Caenorhabditis elegans: one gene and its partners. The protein of the gene in region 3 interacts with the protein of the main gene of each other region in a pairwise test. Each region holds a gene or a part of one and is shown on either strand. Other genes may lie near its edges.

Region 1 (4,756 bases), on a different chromosome or scaffold from region 3:
GCATGCTAGACTTCAATTCTATCTCAATTTCTCTCTTCTCTACAGTTTTTCTCGCCTTCGACCACTGTACTGTATCTTCTGAATCAAAGAGTAAAAAACCAACGAGTGTGACTGATTGACGCCGTCACCACTAAAAATGCCAAATTGCAGGATGGCATCTATTTCAAATTAAACTTATACATAGCTTATGCTTAACTTAACTTAACTTATTAAACTTATATTAAATAGTGGAAATTCTTGTCAAGTTTTGCTTTAACAAAACTTTGATTCAACCAAGGCCAATCTTTGAACAAAACTTATCTTGTGTCGCTTTTGGAAAGACATGGGGAAATGTTGGATTGAACTCGGTCGGAACTTCGGCGCGGCCTAAACAAATTCAACTTTTGCCAAAGTTACCCAACTTCCGAAGAAAGTTATATTTATGGGCAAAAGAAATTGTCGCCGAATGCCGAGCAAACATATTTCAAACTGACAACTTTAGATTCTGACCTTTTTTCTATACTTTATCCTGGAATTAGATCTTAGTTAACTTCAGTTGTGCAAGTTGAATTTAGAAACAACAATCGTAATTTTCAAATTTTGATTGTATCAATTAATTGGGTAGGTTCAACTTTGAAAACCTTAGACTTTCAAACTTGCACTAAGTCTCTGTTCTGTTGCTTTCCGGTTGGAGCTCAATATGTGTGCAAACAATGACCACAGTATTGGTCAGTCTCGATGCTCTTCCACTTCAACTATTTTTTGCCGATTCTCTTTCTTTGAAAAAACAAACATTCGATACTCTGAATTCTAAAACTCCGATTGAAATGATTGTGTGACACGAAAATCAAATGGAACTGATCAGGCGGCTTCTGTGACTCATGTTTTTCGCAAACTCGCAAGTGGTTAAACAATTTGTGTGGAACACATTTCATAAGTTAGTTTTATACAGAATTATAAAGAAAACAAGAAGATCGGTAGTTAAAGAGATGATTTTTTTAGATTGCAAAATCGAGCATTAGCTGAGCGATGACTCGTTTCAAGTGTTCTTTTGTGACGTGGCGGCTTCCAGTGTTGGCAGCGGACTGTGCGGCTCGAGCTACCGACTCCTGAAATTTTAAGTTATTTTAAAAAATTGTAAAATAAATTTTTTTAAATAAGAGTAAAAATTCAAAAAATCATATTAATCACCTGTGCAAGCAAATTGATAAGAGCTGTGAGAACAGCTAGTGCATCCGGATCCAAGTTCAACCGTTTCTTGCCTCGCCGAGCCACAATCAACATCGATCTTACTGTAGACTGTTTGATGTGCATTACCATGATTGAAATTCTGAAATCTTACTAATTACACAGATATACGCGAGAAGTCTGAAATTTCAGGAAGTAGATAATAACGAGAATTTATAACTGGATTACTGTATTCAAATAAAAATCTTCTATCCCGTTATTTGAAACAAACAAGTTATTTATTTAAAGAAATCGTAGGGAAATGTGGATGAGACCTGGGAAAAATAGGAAAAAAAAACAAATTGAACAAATTCAAATATTATTCCATTCGAAACGGGAAGTCTGAAGGAAGTGTGAATCTGAATGGTTCCACATATGGCATATCCATCGTGGCAAGAAGCATTGTCAAGTCGGTTTTCAGTTTATTGGTTGACTTTTGCAGTTTTTCCATCATATTTTTTAAGCTGTCCATCTTCCGATCACATGTTTTGATAGCGTCTTGAAGCTTCATCTCCACATAAACATCGTCACACAGCTTAACAACCACATGCTTCGTGTCTCTCCTTAAATTCAAAAATAAAAGTAGTAGTTATAATAAGTATCTTACACTTCAATATTCATAAAAACTCTCTGTCCCAGTTCGGTCTTTCCTTCTGTTGTTTTTGGAGCCTCATTCTAGAAAAAAAGATGATTTAGGTCTAACTTTGAACTCTTTACCAGAAGCCGTTGACATGTGAACTTGAGTTTTGCATACTCCTCGCACTGTTTTTGCAACTTTTTGAATTCCTTCTCCTCAGTTGCAATTTTAGGATGAATAACATTTCTGTAAATAATTGTCAATTATTTATTCCGATTCGATTGATGTACTCACTCTGACAAATCTTCCAAATACTTCATGTATCTTTCCTGTGCAGAGACATAGTTTTCCATTTGAGCTGAATACATTTTTTGGAGAAGGTATTCAAAAATTTATAAAAATAGTAGGTTTTATGCAATAACCTCTTTCAGAAAAAAAAACAAATTTAATATAGGGGGTAAAATCATGCTTCATTTTTTGTACATAAATGAGAAAAATATAAAAACCGGAATAAAAGATCCTTGGCTACTCGGCAACAAAATCAGGACGGCGGAATGTAGCAATTACAAGCTTGAAAGACACGAAAACTCCCTCGATTTCTGTACGATCCTGGAAAATACTTAATCAGTATTAGCAGAATTTACCCTATTCAATTTCTTACCAAATTATTTTTGTATTTGATTTCTTCCAAATGATGATTTCCATCCATCATCGGAGCAACTTTTACGAAAAGGCTCAACGTTCGTTTGACACTGGCATAAGATGTAGTTTCGAGCATTTCAGCACAAATATCCGCTACAACTCCCTTCACGTCATTTGGTAATGTGCTTTCCTCGATGATTTTCGTAAACTCAGCGGGACATGGCTCTTTTGGTTCTGGTAGGATCGCGATCGAGTACGGTTTCAGAATATAGTAAAATTGATGCAACTGCATGAGCATTTGATGACGAAGCAAAGCAACGACAAGCTTCGCACGAACTCCCTGTTCGTGTAGAGGAAGGTTTTTTCGGATAAACGTATCCAGTGTTTTTGGGGGATTGAAATGAGCCAGCCCGGCAGCCAAGTGAATGGTATTGCCGAATTGAGCTGTGAACTTCTCTGCCATTCTGTAACTTGTTGAATTTCAATGTAACAATAAAATCCTTGACTAATCAAAATGTTCTATGAAAATAGTGATTTTGTTTTGAATTTATAAAATATAGTTTAAAAAACAAAAAAATTGCTCACTTATCAAGAGGTTGTGGACTTGTTGCAGATGTATAGATGTTTGTATTACATAAAGGATAAATGAGAATAGCACGTGTCCATTGCAGTAAGTGTCGAATGATCATGAAAACTTCAAAAATCGGGATTCCAGACGCCGTTGACATATCCAAAATTGAACGATCCGGACTACAATGACTGAGAAGTTTAGCAACAATCGGATTTGCATCTGGAGTTGGCCACACATCTTCGAGAAGCAAAATTCCGTGATAAGGTCTGAAAAATAGTTTTTGTAGTTCCAAAAAATGGGTTATTATAGGAAAAACTCACTTCATTTTTCTGACGATTTCATCGATTTCCTGCCTTCCTTTCGGCACTACATTTAACTTCGTCAAGGCATGTGCTTCATCACAAAATCCAAGTTCCACAAAATTTATGAGATATTTCTGGAAATGTTTTTTTAAGTCTAGATTGAATTTTATCATCCATTCGCGTAAAGTGATACTACTAGGTGCTTAAATGGTACATGATAAATTCTGTTTTTCTGAACAGGTTAGAATTTAAAATTTCAAAAGTTTTTTTTCTACATCAAATGAACAAATCTGTAAAGTCTGGCACCCTGATATCGTGACAAGACCACCATGGGAAAAATGCGTGTTCCTTTGAAATGACATGTCAAAAATATCGCGAAATTACAATAAATATTGTAATCAAAATCTGATAGAACCTTTAGTGGAAACAAATCTGAATTTAAAAGAATTTGAATCTTACATGAATATTTCCTCGATTTCGCACTTCTTCAAACATTTCAGCCAATGGTTGAACTATGAAACTAGTCTTTGCGAACTCTTCCAGAGGATGATCTTTATTAGGTTCTTCAGCATTATCTGCCCACTTGTCCTCTCGTTCCAGAAATCCAAAATAGTTTTGGAGCATGACCAAACTGACTGCAATCTTATTCGAAAGTGTTTGATATGCGGACGCTGTGTGCTGTTCACATCCGTTTTTAAGTGCAAAAACAATCGAAATCTGATAGTTGGTGGATTCACCACGTGCTTTCCATGTCTTCGGATATGCAACGAATCTTTGATTATTGATCTTCATATCGAACCCATCGTTACACGCAATTTCTTGAGTTTTGAACACATAAGCAAGCATTCCGAGAGACATGTCGAATTCTGTATCCACACGTCCGAAACCATAACTTGGACTGAAATTTTGAACGTTTGAATATTTAAATTTAAATATTCGGATTTAAACGAACTCTTTGACACTTGTAAGAACTGGCTTCACACATTGTCCTGGATTAGAGCTGGAAGGTTGTGGATCTTTCGATGGAGCTGAAAATGTTTTTTTTTTTGAGATTTTATATTGTTCAGATTACCTTTGGTAGCTGGTTTTCGATGTGGATAAATAGATACAATCTTTTCGCCGCTTTGTCCAGTGAGAAAACACATCACAGCACTGAAAATTCAAAATTATTTTTATGATAAATTGAACTTTATTCAACAAGATCACAAATAACTATTGATTTTCAGTAATTTAAAAACTCACTGAAGATGACTTTCTCTCTCGAAATCCACTTCTTTCGCTGACATTCTTCAAAAATTCAAAAAAGATTTTCTGGTATGCAATAGTAGATCACAGTACAAAAAAAACCAACAATAGTTGCGAGACCCATGCATATGACGAAATTTTCAAAAGTGAAATTTTCACTGATTGATTTTATTCCATAATCGGAATAATTGTAAATAGTATTGAAATCGATAC
Region 2 (6,774 bases), on a different chromosome or scaffold from region 3:
CGACACAACTGCTCACTTATCGATATTGTGATAACGTTTGGACGTTTATTCTCAATAATGTCACGTTGAAAGATCCCCAGCGATCGTTTGATGAGCCTATTGATAAGTGAGTGTTTCTTTTATTTGTATTAAAAATAAAAAATCTAGAAAAAAGCAATTGTTTATTAATTTTCTATAAAAATTTTTGTTTCTCGATGATCTATAATTATTAATATTTCAGACTGAAAGTGGTCGCCTGTGATGGTCGTCAAACAAGCCTTCTGCAGACATTGAGCGCCCAGGGACCATCCAAGAGAGTCAATCGAGCTCACGCGGCCGCTGCAGGCGACGATGAAGATGATGACAGTGATTAGATGAACTTTCCAAATCATTGTTTCATTTTCTAATCCAATTTCTTCTCTTACACAAGCTTTCTATTGTATGGGCCCAGCTCATTTCTTTTCTAGATCTCTCACGCTGTCACAGCAAGACCTCCTCTATCTCTCTCAATCCTATAATATATTTTTCGAACGAACAACAATTTATTGATTTGAAAAAATGCAAACAAGGAAAATCTAAACAACAAAACAACTCCCGCAAACACCTCTCCGAATGCATATTGCTCTTGAATCACACGAGATCCGCTTCTGGCAACGCTTGCATTCTTTCTCATCGAGAATGTGCTTTTGAAGATGATCAACCAGACTTTGTGTTGACGAAAAGCTGGTCTTCAAGCATAGATGGCACTTTATTCTGGACTTTTTCGATGGCTTAGGCTTGCGATCCGGATCTTGGGAATATAGTACAGGTGGTTCATCCAAGACATAATTCGTTTCGATCACTTCCTCGGTGATGGGATCTTCGAAATTACCATCATACATCATAATCGGCGGATCCTCTTTCTCATGCACCGCTTCAACTTCTCGATTGTCTCCGGGACGGGTCACGGCATGCCATTCCAGGGAATTTCCACCCTCATCAACGTAGACAACCTCATCGAGAAAATTGGCTTCTCCATTTTGACCGGGAACTGGACGCCAAGATGATCTGAAAAGAAGTGATTAGGAAATCAGAAAAAAATCAAATGCTTAAAGTATATTGTCATTTTTGAAACGATTTGAAAGCCTATTTTAAAAACGCAAACATGTTTCCTCGGCGTGTCTCGCCACGATTTTTGTACTCAAATCTGAATTCAGGTCTTGCCCCGACTGAAACTTTATGGCAACCGTACCCTCCGGTTACGGTAGATTTTCTTTTCTCTTGACAATCGGAGGTTTAAAAAATAAAAATTAAAATTGTGGAAGTGTTTCCCTGTATTACATAGAAAAAATGAATAAAATAATTTTCTCCAACATTATCACTGAAAAACGTTTTAAGAAAAAGTATTGCAAATCTACCGTTGTCATGGGTACGGTAGCTGAAAAATGTTTTGCCAAGACCCATTGATCGAATTTTATCCTGTGAATTCATATTTTTAAAAGAAAAAACATACTTGTAATCGTAGACATTATGAGGTCTACATGCAAAATGATGTCCATTAAATGGATCTCCATTGCTCAAAAATTTATATCCATCGAGATGAATTGTCCGAATGACGTCACGAATTCCACTTTCAGTTTTTGCTTTTCGACAACTCAAACACGCGTAGAATTTCGTATTATTCAAACCATATCGATTAAAATGAAATTCATAATATAAATGTGGTTGAGCAACTGGAGTCATTACTGCAACTTGATGAACATTTCGTGTTTTATGCTTATTAAAAGGCATTCGATAGCGAATTTTGTACTCGACGACTGAAGAATTGTTGGTTGTATCGGTTGATTGCATCATTTCCATTTTATGCTTTACAGCGGGCTCCCATGGAAATGGCTCGGCGAGCCCCGGACGACGTTGTCGATATTTTGGAAGTGCGGTCATTTTCCAGAAGATTCGATCATCGATCTGAAAAGAAATATTAATTCTAAAGAAAAATTCAAAATTCAAAAAACTCGCTTGAAAAATAAAAAATTTCCTGCTATAAACTTTTTTTGTAATATTCAAACTTTTTCACAAATTCAAATTTTCCCAATATCGTTGGACTTGCCTTTTTTGGTTTTTTTTTGTGTTTTTGGCGAAAATGGGTCTTTTGATGTTTTTTTTTGGAGAAACTTTCTTTTTTTTAATTCCGTGCTTTGAGATAATTTTTTTCATGAAATTCGTAGAATTCCAACTAACCATGACAAAAGTGTCGGCTGAGAAGTGATAACAACAGATATATGGTTCTTGTGTTGCACTCTGAAGTACTGTAGCTGGAAGCCGAAAGAAATGTAACCATTGCTCTTTGAGTTCTTCTGATTTTGGCCACTTGAAAAGACGGATTTTTTCGGATTCGGAACGTTGGCAGACGAGACAGGAGGCGCTTGATCCAACTATATTTCGGATTCCTGAAAATTTCAAGGTCATGTTATTTTTTTTTCTGGATTTCCTTTCGCAAAGATTTGAATTTTGTTTCGTTTTTTAGCAATTTTAACCGGATTTTTTAAATAATCAAAATTCCAGTTTTAAATGCACATACTCTTATAATTTTCCTGTTTCTGATTGCCTTCAATTCTGTAAATCTCATGATAAACGAGATCTTCCATTTCATTCTCGTAATAAACTTTTTCAGCTTCAACCATTTCGTGAGCATTGTCTACTTGAACGGCGTTGTGTGGATAGACTTCTGTAAAAATTAATGTTTAATTTGATTTTTCTCAAATTTTAAAAGTTTTTCAAAAGATAAATTGGACCTGGAAGATCAAATTTTCAATTTCCCAAAAAAATGTTTGGAAACTTCAAAACTTGATTTTTTTCAATTTTTCCAGTAGTTCTATAAATAATGAACCTTCGTAGTCAATTTTCATGCTAACAGGAATTTCTTCATGATTGCTCGAAGTTGGCTCCTGATCACTAATATATTCCTGCTGAAACTGCTCGACCGGCTCAATATCCTTTTCATAAATCATCTCGTGTTGCTCCATATCAATCTCAGCTTCTTCCCCATCATCATCCATTTCCTCGTATTCCGACGAATCTCGATCATCCTCATCGTGATCGATTTTCTTAAATTTGAGATTCAATTTTTCAGTTTAAAAAAGTTCTAAGACTTACCTTGCTCATTATCTTTTATCTAGAGATCTGAAATATTTTAAAATTTATTTCCTGTTACTTTCTTTGAGAAGTGGAGATAGCAAGTAGATAAAGACTTGAAAAAACATATTATATTTTTTTGAAAAGTAAAAATGAAATTGTGGTATAAGTGAATTTATTGTGACATCAAGTACATATAATACATTTAAAAAATCCCGCTTCGCATGTTTTTCATCCGTAGGCCGGTGTAATGCTGTACTGAAGCTCCAGAATCTCCTTATCGGTGATTTTCACAGAATAACATCGGGATAGCGTCTGAAAATTTGATTTTTATAAAATTATATCGAGTTTTTCAAATTAAAACTAACCTCAAACGTGGTGTCAGGAGATGGGGCAAATGTGTTATCAATGTACAAGAAGAGTGAGTTGTTGGCTTGAATATTCAGCAGTTTTCGCAATTTCTGGAAGAAAATAATATTATTTTCACATTTTTTAAGAATTTCAATTCTTACCAAGATGAAGGAAGCAACAGTGTCCGTTGGATTCACCACCATTTTCTTATTTTTAAGAACTGGCGCATCTGCGATATTCCTCAGCCTTACGGTCACCTTATCTGACTTTGGTGGTTCGGCGGAAGCTGCAGCGGTGGGTTCCGTATTTCCTGTTGGAGTTGTGGCGGTTTCTGTTTCCATTTTCTGCAAAAAACCCCACTTAAAAAGAAAAAACAAATGGGAATAAAGTATTAGAGCCGAAAAAATTCGAAAAAAAATTTGAATGATAACTACGGTTGCTTTGAAGGAACATACTTAACATTTTGACCTTGGTCTCGCCTGGAATATTGCTATTTTATGGAAAGAACTGGATTTAAGATGTGTTTTTTTAAAAAACAGGGTTTTTAAAATCTAAAAAACTAATTAGCTCGTAAAATTTTAAAAATTCAATAATATTTTACAAAAAAATCTGACACACAAGCATTTATACTTGCTATAGTTTGAAAACTTCAAACGTGAAAAACGCTAGAATGTAAAGGAACACAATCAACTCTGGGAACTTGCGTCTCGACTGGAATTTAAAAAAACCAATTACTATTGTAGTAAAATGGCGGAAGTTTGAATTTCTCTCAGAATATTGAAGAAAATATTTCTTAAACGCTAAAAAAAGGTCGCAGCTGACATATATTTTCTTGCCTCGTTTCTTCGAGTGGTCGTTGACGCGTTTGTCGTGTGCTTTAGAGAAAAGAGACGGAGACGTGCAGACAGGGGGTGCGCAGAAGTTGATAACCCTCTTGTGGACAAAAATAAATCCCTTCTATTTATTTCATAAAGCTCGATTTTCTAAATTTTACTCAGAAAATGTCATAAAATATTGAAAAATGAGCAGTTTTCTCGGGCGACTTCGCCGCAAAAAAGACAAAGAACAAAATGGCAAGTTTCTAAGAAAACCACGTAAGGAATCGATAATCTAATTGAAAAAATTTAGGTCATACTGCCACGTCATCTGACGGAGCTTATCAAAATGGGAATGCTCATAGAGATTCACTTGTAAATGATCATATTTGTATTCCAGCACAGAGAAATTCATTAACAGTTGCTCAACAATCAGCGGATATCGGTGAGTTGATTGTAACTTCTGAGAACACATTTTAAAAATTCTGAAAAACTCGAAAAAATATGAAGTAACCCAATACTAGTTGATAAGTAGGAAAACATTTATAACAGGGCGAAATTGATCAAGAGTCTCGCGTCGTACCCCCGCCCACAAAAGAGGCGTGGCCCAGAGTCAGAGAAAATTGGCAAATTTTTTGATGAAAAAACATATTTTATGTTCACATTATAGAACCCAGATTTCACATGGTCTATAATTCTTATAAATTTTATTGAAAATTTTCCAGGTTCCGGGTCAGATCACGAGGGAATAATAGTGAAGCAAAAGCCTCAATTGGCATTTTCCCTGGATCGACTTCTCATAGATTCGTCAGCTTTGTCATATTTTATCCAATACCTTGACTCAACTGATAAACTCAATTTAATCAAATTTTGGATGCACGTTGAAGGATTCAAATCAAGTTTTTCAGAACAAATTCAGGCTGCACAAGAGTGTGAGTTGGATTTTAATATATTTTCATATCTAAAAAATGTCAATTTGATTGGTACGATCCACTTGTGCCCCCAATTTTTAAGCAATGACCTGAAAAAATGATGACTTTTCAACTTTACAGTATCCCTTCGAGATGCCAAAAGTATTTATGACAAATATATTGATGACGGTTCAACAAGTTCACTAGCCTTGCCACGGAAAATAAAACAAATTGTAGATGGTAGGCCATTCACAAAATTTAAAAATTAAAAATAAAGTGGAATAAAGGGGGTTATTTTTCTCTAGCACTTCTGAATCTTTATCAATTTTGGAAACTTTAAAAAACAGATTATGCAACAATTTTATTGAAGATAAACTTTCTTTATTTTCAGACAAATTATCTGCGTCTCCACTACAAAAGTCTTGTTTTGATGAAGCTCAGGATTTTGTGAAATCTCTATTCGAATATCGATATTTTGATGAATTTCAGAATAGTGTTTATTATAAGAAACACGAGTTGGAAGTACTTTCTGATGGTTGTAGTCTGGCAGATATTCTGAAAGTTCAACCATTGCTTCTATCATTTTTGGAATTTATAAAAGAGAAAGAAGATCATGATACTATTCAATTTCTATTAGGATGTGATAGTTTTGAGGCAAATTTGGATTTAATGGAAGATTCTGAAGCACTTGGAGATGCAATGGCACTTTATGAAAAATATTTTTCAATGCAAGCAACAAATATGATTGATTTGGGATCAGCAATTCGTGCAGAAATGGAATCTTTGATTTGTGAAGAATCTGGAAGACCGAATCGAAAAGCTTTTCGAACTGCAAAGACTGCATGCTTTTTTAGGCTTCATGATGTAAGTTACACCTAAAATTGAATGTGTACATTCTCTCTTCTCATTTTAGTTGATTTTTTTTTTCAAAAAAAGCTGAAATAACTAGGCGGCCACTGTGGTTTGTGAACCAATAGCATCACTTAAAAACAAACCTGGCAGATTTCCAAACAGAGTGAAAAAATGTGAATCATTCTTTTAGAAATAATAAAATTGATTTTTTTTGAAAGTTTTTATAGCCAAAAATACGAAAAGCGTATCAAGTTCCACATTGTGAGAGCAAAAGCCTTTAGTTTGCTTACACATATTTTTGAAACTCGGAAAATGAGATCCCTCCATATTCTGGACTATTCTTTTTGAAGATTAAACTATATTAAAAATTATATCAATCGTGTCGAGACCTAAAAGACTAATCGTTGTTCTTTCATAAATTTTAGACTACGAAACCAGAAAAAAATATTCATGAAACCAATTTTTCAAAAACCGATTTCTCTACTTTTCTATTCCGCTACTCTATGTTTTCCCTCACAAAGGAATACAAATTTCTAGAAAACTCTCTCTTCTATAAATTTGGAATTTTTCATGATATTCATTTTTAGGTTAGAATACATAAGTGATTTGGAACTCTCCACCTTTCAAAACTTTTTTATTTTTATTTTCTCCCCTCTTCTTCCAAAATTCTCACTCAACCGCCCGTTTTCACAAGTCACGTTATTGTTCGCGTACAGAACAGCCCCTCGTTAAAAGTGTCCTGAAGCTCTCGGCTG
Region 3 (4,571 bases):
CATTGGAGTACACGTGAATCAAAATTTTGAATATCTAGTTAAGAAATTTGCAAACTTTGAATCATTTCCGAAAATTAATGCAAAATGGCCAAAAAAACGGGCGGTATCGAAAAAAGAAAAAAGAAAGAAGAGCTCGCTAGGTGAGTTCTTCAGAGGAGGTCGGCACCCATTCGGCGCCAAACTAATTGTCGATCAACGGCAGATGTCCATTTTTAGGACGGGGGACCATCCAATTATCGTTTCAGAACAAAAAAGTCATCGCCATCGTCGTCACCGACAAAAAGTGAACGTGGAGAACGGGAACGTACAAAATGGAGAAAAAAGCGAAGGGAAATTGAGCTCAAGAAGGTAGCTGAACAATTGGAGCAGCATCGTATTAGAGAAGAGGCGGAGCTTGCAAAAAGGTAGGAGTAATTTCCTTTTTTAATTATAAGGAACTTATTTCTTTTGCTTTGTTATTCATAAAAAAATATTTAATTGCAAAAAGTCATGTTTGTTGGTCAATTTCTTCAACCATTTTTACCGATTTTCATAAAACAGGTGGAAAAAAGCAATTTGATATGATAATCGATGTAGGTGGAATGTTGGTTTTTAGCTATTAAATTGAAATGTTTCTCAGAAACATAATCAAATAGGTATATTCGTATTAAAGTGAGGTAAACTTTGATATTTGGCATTACATCACTAAGTTTCAAAACTTTTTTTTTTCCGTAACTTAAAGTTTGGGTAGCATGAATTAATACTAATCTGGAACTATTTAAGATCCCTATAAAATAGTTGGCAACGTTTTGATTGAATTGGGGTTTGTCTTGAAGTACTCGAAAATTTTCAATTTCTGTAGTATCAACAAAGAGCAGCGATAAAAACCTAACGTAAACGCCACGTGGAGCCAGAACGTCTCATTTCGGTTTGATCTACATGAAATGCGGGAATTGAGACGCAGACATCTCATCTGATTTCGCACGGTGAAGAGCGTGCGGACGTCACAATTTTCTGGAACACTATTCCCGCATTTTTCGTAGATCAAACCGCAATGAGACAGCCTGACACCACGTGAAACGCGACTTTCCTAATAAGAACCAATCGGCGACTATCTCCGCCTACTACTGAAACAATCAACGGATGAAGGCGGAGTAGCGTCACTGATTGGTCTGAACGTAGGCGGAGCGAATCCCTTATTGGTCTTGTAGTTTTCACTTTAGAGTGATTGTAAAGATTAGAAAAGTTGCAATTTCAAATTTCGTTTTGTTATAAAATAAAGTGAACATTCTGATTTGTTGAATTTTCAAACAATTTCAGAAAAACGGAAAATCAGAAGAAAGAATTTCGTAAACGCCAAGAAATATTCGAGAAAGTATTTCAAGACGCTGAATCTGGACAAAAAGCAGTTGAGAATGTGATGAGTGATTATCGGGAGTCAAGAAATGCAATCAAAGTGCAGTTATATACCGATTCAAATGATTTTATTCAAACACAACAAATTGAAAAATCGGTGAGTTTATGGTTTCTGTTTTACGATTTGTTTTATGATTTATTAGTATATTTGGATACAGTGTATATTAAATATTTTATTCAATTTTTTTTAGACTTTCAAAAAAGTGGATCAAGGCTAAAACAAAATTGATTTTTTTTCCAGCATTTCAACGCTGCTGGAGACCGACTTCGTTCTTCTGAAATTCAATTATCAAAACTAGAGTCAGAATTGAAAAAGACAAAACAGGTAAGAATATATTTTTATGTTTATAGAACCTAGGGAAATACCCTGAACTTACAAGAAACTTATTTAATTATTGTATATAATTAAGCTAAAACTTTCAGATACGCGAAGAATATTATCAAGATTCCATGCAAAGTTGGTTTTCACGATTCTGGAAATATCTATATTGAAAATATTTCGTATTGTCACTATTGAATGAAATTTTAGCAAAAGCATAACAAAATTGAAGTTAACATATACAATCCAGTTTTGAACTTCCGCCAAAAACGGAAAATGCGTCAAGAAAGCTTGCTGGCGCTTTGAAGGATGGCGCAGAACCCGTTTTTCTTCTAGATTTTTAAACACAATTTTGTTTTCTTTCACTTCTTTTCCCACTAAAAACGATCAAAATGGCTGATATGGCTAAATTCGAAGAAGAAGTTAACAAGCTCAGAACTCTTGAAAAAGGTTAGTAACTGTTAATTTAAACAATCTTTTCAATCGTTTAATTATAGACCGCGAAAAGTACTTCACGAGTCGCCAAGAGATGGAAATGAGATTAACTGAGAGTAAAAATGTGAAAGCGGTAAGAAAAAGTTTGAGATTCAGTTTTCATGTTATCTTCATTCAGGAGCTTGATCTGATGGAATCCGACTCGAAAGTCTACAAACTCATCGGAGCGGTTCTTGTTCGTCAAGATTTGGAGGAGGCTCGATCGACTGTGGAGAAACGGCTTGAGTTTATCGACTCTGAGACGTGAGTTGTAACGTTTATCATGTTTCTTTAGTATTACTTCTTGCACGCTATTGATTTACACGAAACAAATAAAAATAACAAATAAATTTTACCTTTAAACGTTTTAAAATGCAACAAAACTTTAATTACAATTTTCAGCAAACGAGTGGAAGCCAGCATCTCAGACATTTCGAAGAAGTGTACGGAACAGCGAGACAAGGTGATGAATATGCAAAAAAGCTTCCAGATGATGGCTCAAGCAGCAGCCCAAGCACAGAAGAAATAATCCAGTTTGTTCTATGAATCTCATATTTTTTGCTCTTAATTTGTTATTTTTTGCCTATTCTTCATCTCTGGTGTTTCTCCGAAACGAGAAGATCACATTAATTTTTCTATGAAAAAAATAAGTTTCTTGTTTCGGGGAACCATTTACAATAAATGCTTTCAAACTGTTTTATACCATTTGTGCTCACGTCTATGTTAAAAGTCATTGCTAATTACATCAGTTCTGATTTATAACTATATTCATTTTCTTGCTATTCAGATGCATAATGGGTACCATTCTTATTTTCCTCCAAATCACTATTATGCTCAAAGTCAGCCATCATCGTCGTATAATCCCCAACCACAAATTCAACAACCGCAAACCCAAATATATGGATTGGTAGTTGGTTACAATAAATATGGAAACAGAAATTATCTTTTCTATACCAAAAATATCGATGGATTTGTCGAAATCAGTGGAAATATTCAGAGCCTGCAGATAGGACGCTGGCTAAAGTTAGACATTATTTTATCTGATTTTATTAACTAGCAATTTTAGATTAACTGTTTGTCAGAACTTCGTGGGACAATACGTATTGGATTCCTCAAATAGTTGTGGATATGAAAACTGGGACGTTTTGCCGAATCACAGAAATTCATCGGCGAGATTCTTTCCGAAGTATGAGGCTAACGATGAAGGAGAAATTTTGGTAATCTCAAATGGAAAAAGTTTTAATAAATAAAGAGTACGGATTTTTATAATTTTTCAGATAACAGCTCGATTTGATGTAATAGTAGATCGGAAAAATAATTTGTATGATTTCACCAGTTACGATATTTCCTATGATCATATTATTGACGACTTTAGTCTGATCAAATCATCATGTCAACACTATGATGGACGCAGTTTTATTGTTGAAGTAAGTTATCGATTTTAAAAAAAACTATTAAAATAAAAATATTGCAGGCTCAAGCATCTCTGGCAGGTTGGGTCGCATTGAGTGTGCATGAAGATCCACAAAAGCTACACACCTGTGATGCTGTAAGCCGAAATGGATATCAATCAGTATGTGGCAAAAGTGTCCTGGTTCATTTTGAATTGTTCACATTTTGGTTTTTGCTTATCAAAATTTCCCAGAACATATAAGCCACAACCTCCTGCAGTTTACATAATATAATTTCAGCTCCCGAATCCAGTCGTTGATTCTGATGTACAGTATCTTCATGATACAAGACTGTTGGATGTATGTGACTTATAGTTCAGAATTTTTCAAGTAATCACATTTTTAGATTATGACTGGTAATGGATATGTTCAAACACCCGAAACCGACGTACAAGATCAACAATCAAGTCAACATCAAGAAGACGTGCATTCTCAAATGAACTCGCAGACATCTGATTCGTACAATTCCTCTAGAGTTGTGTCAGAGAATCGGGAAATACCTCCGGAAACTTTTCGAAGCCAAAGTATCGAATTGAATCAAGTTGATTCATCCTTGTCCCAGACTACAATCTCAAGTCGAGCAGCACCAGTTATTGATTCAAATCAGTTATCAGATGAAGATGAAATTGATGATGAAGATACATACGGAACACGTGGAACATCTAATATTCCGATGAGACCGTTTATTAAAGATTTAGCTCCAACGATGCTTCAACTGCTTCGTCAAGATAAAACTGATTCCGAAAAAGTACGTAATGCCAGAACAATAATATTAATCTTCATCACCATATTTCAGCCTCAATCTGCTTTATGCACCGTTGTGCAAAAAATCGATGGCTTTGCAATTTTGTACACAGCCAAAAGAGACGTTATAAACGTTTTGCTTCAAGAAAGATCGTGTGAAGGATTGGAAAGATCCCCTCAACTCGGAG
Region 4 (5,576 bases), on a different chromosome or scaffold from region 3:
AATTGTGCAAAAAATGTGCGAAAATGTCTCCTTTTTAAGACGAAAAATAACAAAAAAAAATCGATTTTTTTCAGAAAAAATAATTTCAGAAAATTTACTTTTTTTCCGTATTTTTTTGTTCAATTTGATGGAAAAAAATATGTTTTTCTTCTAAAAAACGGTTAAAAATAGCTAAAATAATGTGTAAATTCTATCAAATGTCATCAATATTTCTTTGGAAAATTAATTTTTCGGCGAAAAAATGTCGATTTTCCGAAGAAATGCATATAATTTTGTTTAATTTCAGAAAAAAAATTTTATTTTTTTTATTTCCATGAAAAAAAACATGAATTTTTCTTCTAAAAAAAACGAAAAAAAAATTCAAATTTCAGCAAAATTTTTGCAGAATGTCTCCGTTTTAAGACGAAAAATAACAAAAAAAAATCGATTTTTTCAGGAAAAATTTCAAAAATTTACTTTTTTCCACACTTTGTTTTCTTCTAAAATTTTCTTCTAAAAAAAAACGAAAAAAATTCAAATTTCAGCAAAATACGCGCTCGCCTATCTCAAAAAAGATTGGAGCAAAGTAGACGAGCTCTGGAGCAAAGGAACTCGCTACACATGTGCAGTTCGTGACATTCTTCACCATTATATTCGTCTTCGAAAGGAAAAAGATCAACTTTTGGCGATTCAATGGATTCTGACAAATAAAGTAGTTCAGCTGGTTCCAGAGGATGATAAACGGAAATCCTGCGTATTCTCACAACAATCTGATGATGATTTATTGGAAAAAGAAGATCGAAAAGCGACATTTTATTGTATTAGTAAAACGACTTTTGGTGTCATTTTTAAAACTTTATTCGGAAATTTGAATTCTCGATGCTTAAAGTATGATATGTCGGCCAGTGCTGCCAAGAATGGAGGTGTCGACATCGAGGATACTCTGGAATCCTGGGAAACTGCTTCATCATGCTTTCTGATCCTTTGCCTTCTCCTTAGAATCAATAAAATCCGAACTACGGCGGTTTTGACGTCGGCTATTAAAGAGGGAAAACAATTTCTGATTACTGTTTCTAAAAAGAGCTCATTCATATTTTTAATGGATAATATTACGAAGGGAACCAATTTCGATACGATTTGTAGAAGAGTTGAGAAGATTTTATCGGCTGTTCAACAGGGAAATCGTGTCTTGCAGAGTATTGGAACTTTTGCAAAGGTTCTTTTTTTTGCGATGGAAAATTCCACGTTCTCAGGATTTGGATTTTCAGAGGAAAATGGATTTTTTTTTTCAGTGTTTCGGGGCAAAAAACAAAAAAACAGGCTTCTTAATTTTTGGATTTTTTAAAGAGAAATTTGATTTTTTTTTGGTCCGAAATTGAAATAAAAATTCTTTTTTTTTTAATTTGTGATGGCGAAAAATAACAAAAATTGAAATTTGTAGAAAAAAATCTTCAAAAACAAAAAAAAATTCGAATTTCGATTTTTTTAAAATGAACTTTTCAGAATATGAAACCCATTAAAAACCACATTTTGCTTTAAAAATTTTTTTTTGTAAAATACGAGAAGTGAGTTTTTGTCCAAAAACCAAGAAAAAAAATTAATTTTGAACCAGAACAGACCGGAAAAAAAAACCATTTTGGACCGAAAAACAATTTTTGCAAAAAATAACCATAAAAATTCATTTTTTACCCAAAAAACCTAAAAAAAACCAAAAATATCCCTTTTTACCCAAAAAAATTAATTTTTCCCAAACCAAATCCAAAAAAAAATTAATTTTTGGTTTAAAAAACCAGAAATACAATAAAAATCCAAATTAAAAAAAAAAAAAACCAAAAAATCCTTAAAAATCAATTTTTGACCAAAAAACTAGAAAAAAAACCTTTAGAAAAAGGAAGAAATAATCTTTTTTTGCCCAAAACAAATCCAAAAAAAAAATCATTTTTTGATTAAAAAAAACCAGAAATCCAAGAAAAAAATCCAATTTTGGCCAAAAAACCCATTTTTAGCCACAAAACCCCCACAAAAAAACCATTTTGCAATTATGCTCAAAAAAACTTTTAAAAAAACCAAGAAAAAATTATTTTTGTCCAAAAAAAATCCAATTTTGTCCGAAAAAAACAGTTTTTTATCAAAAAAAAATCCATTTTTGGCTAAAAAAAACCCAAAAAATTTTATTTTTGCCCGAAAAAATCGAAAAAATTTTCCAGATCCTGAAAACGTGTTACCTCCACTGCAATTTTTTTCTCAAAAAAAAACAAAAAATCTCAATTTTCAGACGAACAAATGCGTGCTTCTTCTCAAAAAATTCCCGGAACTCCGTGCAGAAAGTGAGAATTGCCTTCGAGTAATTCATTCGGCAATGGTGAAAAATGAATGTTTGAATGCATTCACTGTTGGACTCGTCAAAAGTCGAAGTATTGATGGAGATATTATTATGGATCAGCGTGCCAGTGAAATTGACTCGGATTCCGAATGAAATTTTAAAATATTTTAATTTTTCGCGTTTTTAAACGGGTTTTCTCTGTATTTTTAACTTTATTTTATTTTTTCCAAGTAAATTTGTTGTTTTTCGTTCAGAAATTGCATTTAGAAGCTGAGAAACCATGGAAAATCATTAAATCATGATTTAAATCACGATAAAAATAGATTTCGCTTCAAATTTTGAACTTCCCTCCATTAAACTTTAAAGGCGCATGGAGATTCACAGCGCATGGGTCTCGCCGCGCCGTGTTGCATGTGAAGAAATTTTGGGTAATTTTTGCAGTTTTCTAGTATTTCTAGCGCTGTTGTTCGGTTTTTTATTTGTTTTGACGCTCGGAAAATTTATTTATAACTTTATTTAATGTGCCAGCATAGTTTATTATTCAATTTTCAGGTAAAACAATGTCTGTCGAGGGTCTTCTCTCTGAGGTCAAGCACTTCAACGCTCATCATTTGGATGCTGCTCTTGGAGAACAATTGTTCTATGGAGGGAAGCGTGTCTTCTCCGACGTTAAGCCAGGAACTTCTTCTGGTGGTGACCACGGTATTTATTATTATTTTTTATATAAAATGTTTAATATTCAAGTCTTTTAGGATGCAAGGGAGGAAAGAGCGAGCTCAAGGGAGCTATCCACAATGCCAAGCATGCCGCTGATAAGGCTTTGAACAAAGAAGGTAAATTTGGCATTTTCTGAAAGCTAATTTAACGCATTTCTGTTTCAGGAGGAGAGGACGTCTCCAAGCTTCGCGAAGAGCACTCTGCTCTTGCCAAGAAGGTCGACGACTTGGCCAGTCTTGTCGCTGAGCTTCAACTTCAACTCTCGACTCTTCGCCAAGGACAGGTAAATCATCGTCGTCACGTTTTGATTCTTGGCGACGGAAATCTCTCGTTTTCCCTTGCCATTGCGTCGTCAGATCCGGAAACTGTATACTTTGCAACTGTTTTTGATTCGAAAGAACAGTTTTTGAAAAAATACAACGCTCATGACACGTTAAACGCTCTAGACGCTTTGAGCAATGTGATCCTATGTTTTGGAGTTGACGCGACAGATCTGCCGGTTCGCTGGAGCAACATCTTTAACACGGTTATCATGAATTTTCCACACCCTGGCGGTAAAACCAATCTGAGAAAGAGTAAAATTTTGCTCTCCGGAATTTTTGCTTCCCTCAGAAGTATTATGGATAGCCAAGCAGTATTTCTTCTCAGTCTTGCCATTGGACAGTCTGGGCTCGAGAAGGTCTCTGATCCGTGGATGAACGAGCTCCCAAGTCACAAAAAAGATTCCTGGCAGGCAATCTATCTGGGCGCCGAGAATGGCTTCATTCTCGACAGTCTGGAGAGGTTCGATACTGATAGATTCGCATCTTATAGATCTTCCGGTTATAAAGAGACTAAAAAAGGGTTCAATAATCGTGAAGGATTGACATTTTCCTTCAAAAAGTGTGATAATCAGCAGAAGTCTCTGCGCGATTTTCAATTGGCTGAGCCTCCGAGGAGTGGAAAGTTCAAGTTCAACTACTATAGGCCCTTCTACGCCCAGGATCTGTCGATTTTGTTCAAAATCGGTGAGAGCGAAGGAGAGAAGCTCGCCGTGGAGCTCGTAAAATCGATCGCTGGAAATTGTTTAGCTGCGATTTCTGAGATTGAATATCTTCGATCCATCTGCCCAGATCCGCCACTCCCAAATAGGATCTACAGAATTATATGGCACGGCCTCGAGCTTCCGATGGGACGTGAAATGTGCTCCAGAATCCATGAAGAGCTAAGAAATCGGATTGCTGAGGAGATTGTCGCCAATAATCTTCCACTGGTGCTCACCTGAAAGATCTGCTCGTCTTCTGTTAATTTATTTGTTGTATGTTATTGTTATGAAAAAATAATCGTTGAAAAAGTTGCGAAGTTATAGTTTCCGAGGTCCAAAAGCCTTAATTTTATATTTTCCATTTTCTAATACTAATTTTTTGTTTTCAGACCAGCTCCGTCGCTGCTCCAGCTGCCGCACCAGCCGCTGCTAAAGAGGAAGCTGCCGGAGACGACGACTTCGATCTTTTCGGATCCGAAGACGAGGAAGAGGACGAGGAGAAGAAGAAGGTCGTTGAAGAGCGCCTTGCTGCCTACGCCGCAAAGAAGGCCACAAAGGCCGGCCCAATCGCCAAGTCCTCGGTCATCCTTGACGTAAAGCCATGGGATGACGAGACTGATCTCGGAGAGATGGAGAAGCTCGTCAGATCCATCGAGATGGACGGACTTGTCTGGGGAGGTGCCAAGCTGATCCCAATCGGATACGGAATCAAGAAACTCCAGATCATCACCGTCATCGAGGATCTCAAGGTTTCGGTCGATGATCTCATCGAGAAGATCACCGGAGACTTCGAGGATCACGTCCAATCCGTCGATATTGTTGCCTTCAACAAGATCTAAAGGCCTAATCAGTTGTTCTTATATCCATTATTTCTATCTATTGTATTTCAACCTTGTGAATAATTGGTTTATTCGGTGTTTTTCTCCATTTATAGACAATATTAAATGTTTTCATCGGTTAAATAAACGTTCATTAGGTGCAAATTGCGTCAGTTCTTCGTTGAATAAATTTAATTTCCTCCGGTTTGTGAACTCTGGTGCAGTACTGAATATTAAAATCACAGAATTCAACTCAAAAAATATAAATTTAGAGCAAAAATGCTGCTCAAATGGAACACAAAATCGATTCCGCCGTGAGTTTTTCCCCATTTCCCGCCAAAAAAATTCAAATGCACGAAAAACACGCCAAGCGCACGAGAAACGCGTCAGCAACGGTTACAAGTTTCGCGCAAAGCGTCATTTTTCGCGTGATTCAATTTCACAAAGAAATTTCGCGTTTTCAGCCGTTTTTCATCATTTTTTTGCGAGAAAAATGTGAAAATAATTTCCTGTTACATGGGAAATATGATTTTGCGTTGAAATTTCGTTGAAAAATCGATAAAATTCGCGGAAATCTCATTTTATTGTCCGATGGGTCGAGATTTCCCAGTTGCTTTCGCGCGTGAAAGTATCGATTATTTTTCTCGTTGGTGTGAATTAGTTATTCGCTTAATATGCCGCATTTTTCGTAGCATATAAAATTATTTAATTTTCT

What was found.
Region 1: the proteins of pfd-6 (region 3) and F35H10.6 interact in a two-hybrid assay, tested with the Caenorhabditis elegans proteins (one large-scale study listed by BioGRID).
Region 2: the proteins of pfd-6 (region 3) and B0336.7 interact in a two-hybrid assay, tested with the Caenorhabditis elegans proteins (one large-scale study listed by BioGRID).
Region 4: the proteins of pfd-6 (region 3) and eef-1B.2 interact in a two-hybrid assay, tested with the Caenorhabditis elegans proteins (one large-scale study listed by BioGRID).

The regions. Positions count from the first base shown.
Region 1 is NC_003282.8:8,297,321-8,302,076, reverse strand, and holds F35H10.6 (Spindle and kinetochore-associated protein 2), read right to left. Parts: upstream 2,142-4,756; 5' UTR 2,137-2,141; coding exon 2,078-2,136; intron 2,030-2,077; coding exon 1,924-2,029; intron 1,882-1,923; coding exon 1,814-1,881; intron 1,770-1,813; coding exon 1,526-1,769; 3' UTR 1,430-1,525; downstream 1-1,429. Other genes in the region: F35H10.5 (Centromere protein X), read right to left, coding at 978-1,088, 1,171-1,299; nprl-3 (GATOR complex protein NPRL3), read right to left, coding at 2,309-2,392, 2,445-2,889, 3,011-3,262, 3,317-3,432, 3,758-4,196, 4,251-4,326, 4,371-4,450, 4,541-4,584.
Region 2 is NC_003281.10:5,694,229-5,701,002, forward strand, and holds B0336.7 (THAP-type domain-containing protein), read right to left. Parts: upstream 3,139-6,774; 5' UTR 3,121-3,138; coding exon 3,112-3,120; intron 3,066-3,111; exon of another isoform or gene 3,063-3,065; coding exon 2,846-3,062; intron 2,684-2,845; coding exon 2,537-2,683; intron 2,406-2,536; coding exon 2,197-2,405; intron 1,924-2,196; coding exon 1,472-1,923; intron 1,027-1,471; coding exon 555-1,026; 3' UTR 501-554; downstream 1-500. Other genes in the region: B0336.13 (Transcription initiation factor IIA small chain homolog), read left to right, coding at 1-106, 221-353; lgg-3 (Ubiquitin-like protein atg-12), read right to left, coding at 3,322-3,405, 3,459-3,551, 3,603-3,782; Regulator of G-protein signaling rgs-5, read left to right, coding at 4,463-4,514, 4,570-4,701, 4,982-5,188, 5,309-5,407, 5,559-6,031.
Region 3 is NC_003279.8:7,281,276-7,285,846, reverse strand, and holds pfd-6 (putative prefoldin subunit 6), read left to right. Parts: upstream 1-2,084; 5' UTR 2,085-2,106; coding exon 2,107-2,164; intron 2,165-2,211; coding exon 2,212-2,282; intron 2,283-2,327; coding exon 2,328-2,452; intron 2,453-2,590; coding exon 2,591-2,717; 3' UTR 2,718-2,883; downstream 2,884-4,571. Other genes in the region: F21C3.6 (DUF4200 domain-containing protein), read left to right, coding at 85-140, 246-404, 1,300-1,492, 1,637-1,720, 1,819-1,887; rde-2 (SH2 domain-containing protein), read left to right, coding at 2,976-3,211, 3,255-3,405, 3,466-3,615, 3,663-3,761, 3,880-3,939, 3,986-4,387, 4,436-4,571. UniProt on the Caenorhabditis elegans protein: Binds specifically to cytosolic chaperonin (c-CPN) and transfers target proteins to it. Binds to nascent polypeptide chain and promotes folding in an environment in which there are many competing pathways for nonnative proteins.
Region 4 is NC_003282.8:15,034,487-15,040,062, forward strand, and holds eef-1B.2 (putative elongation factor 1-beta/1-delta 2), read left to right. Parts: upstream 1-2,844; 5' UTR 2,845-2,862; coding exon 2,863-3,004; intron 3,005-3,054; coding exon 3,055-3,135; intron 3,136-3,183; coding exon 3,184-4,283; 3' UTR 4,284-4,352; downstream 4,353-5,576. Other genes in the region: fcd-2 (FANCD2), read left to right, coding at 525-1,195, 2,255-2,455. UniProt on the Caenorhabditis elegans protein: EF-1-beta and EF-1-delta stimulate the exchange of GDP bound to EF-1-alpha to GTP.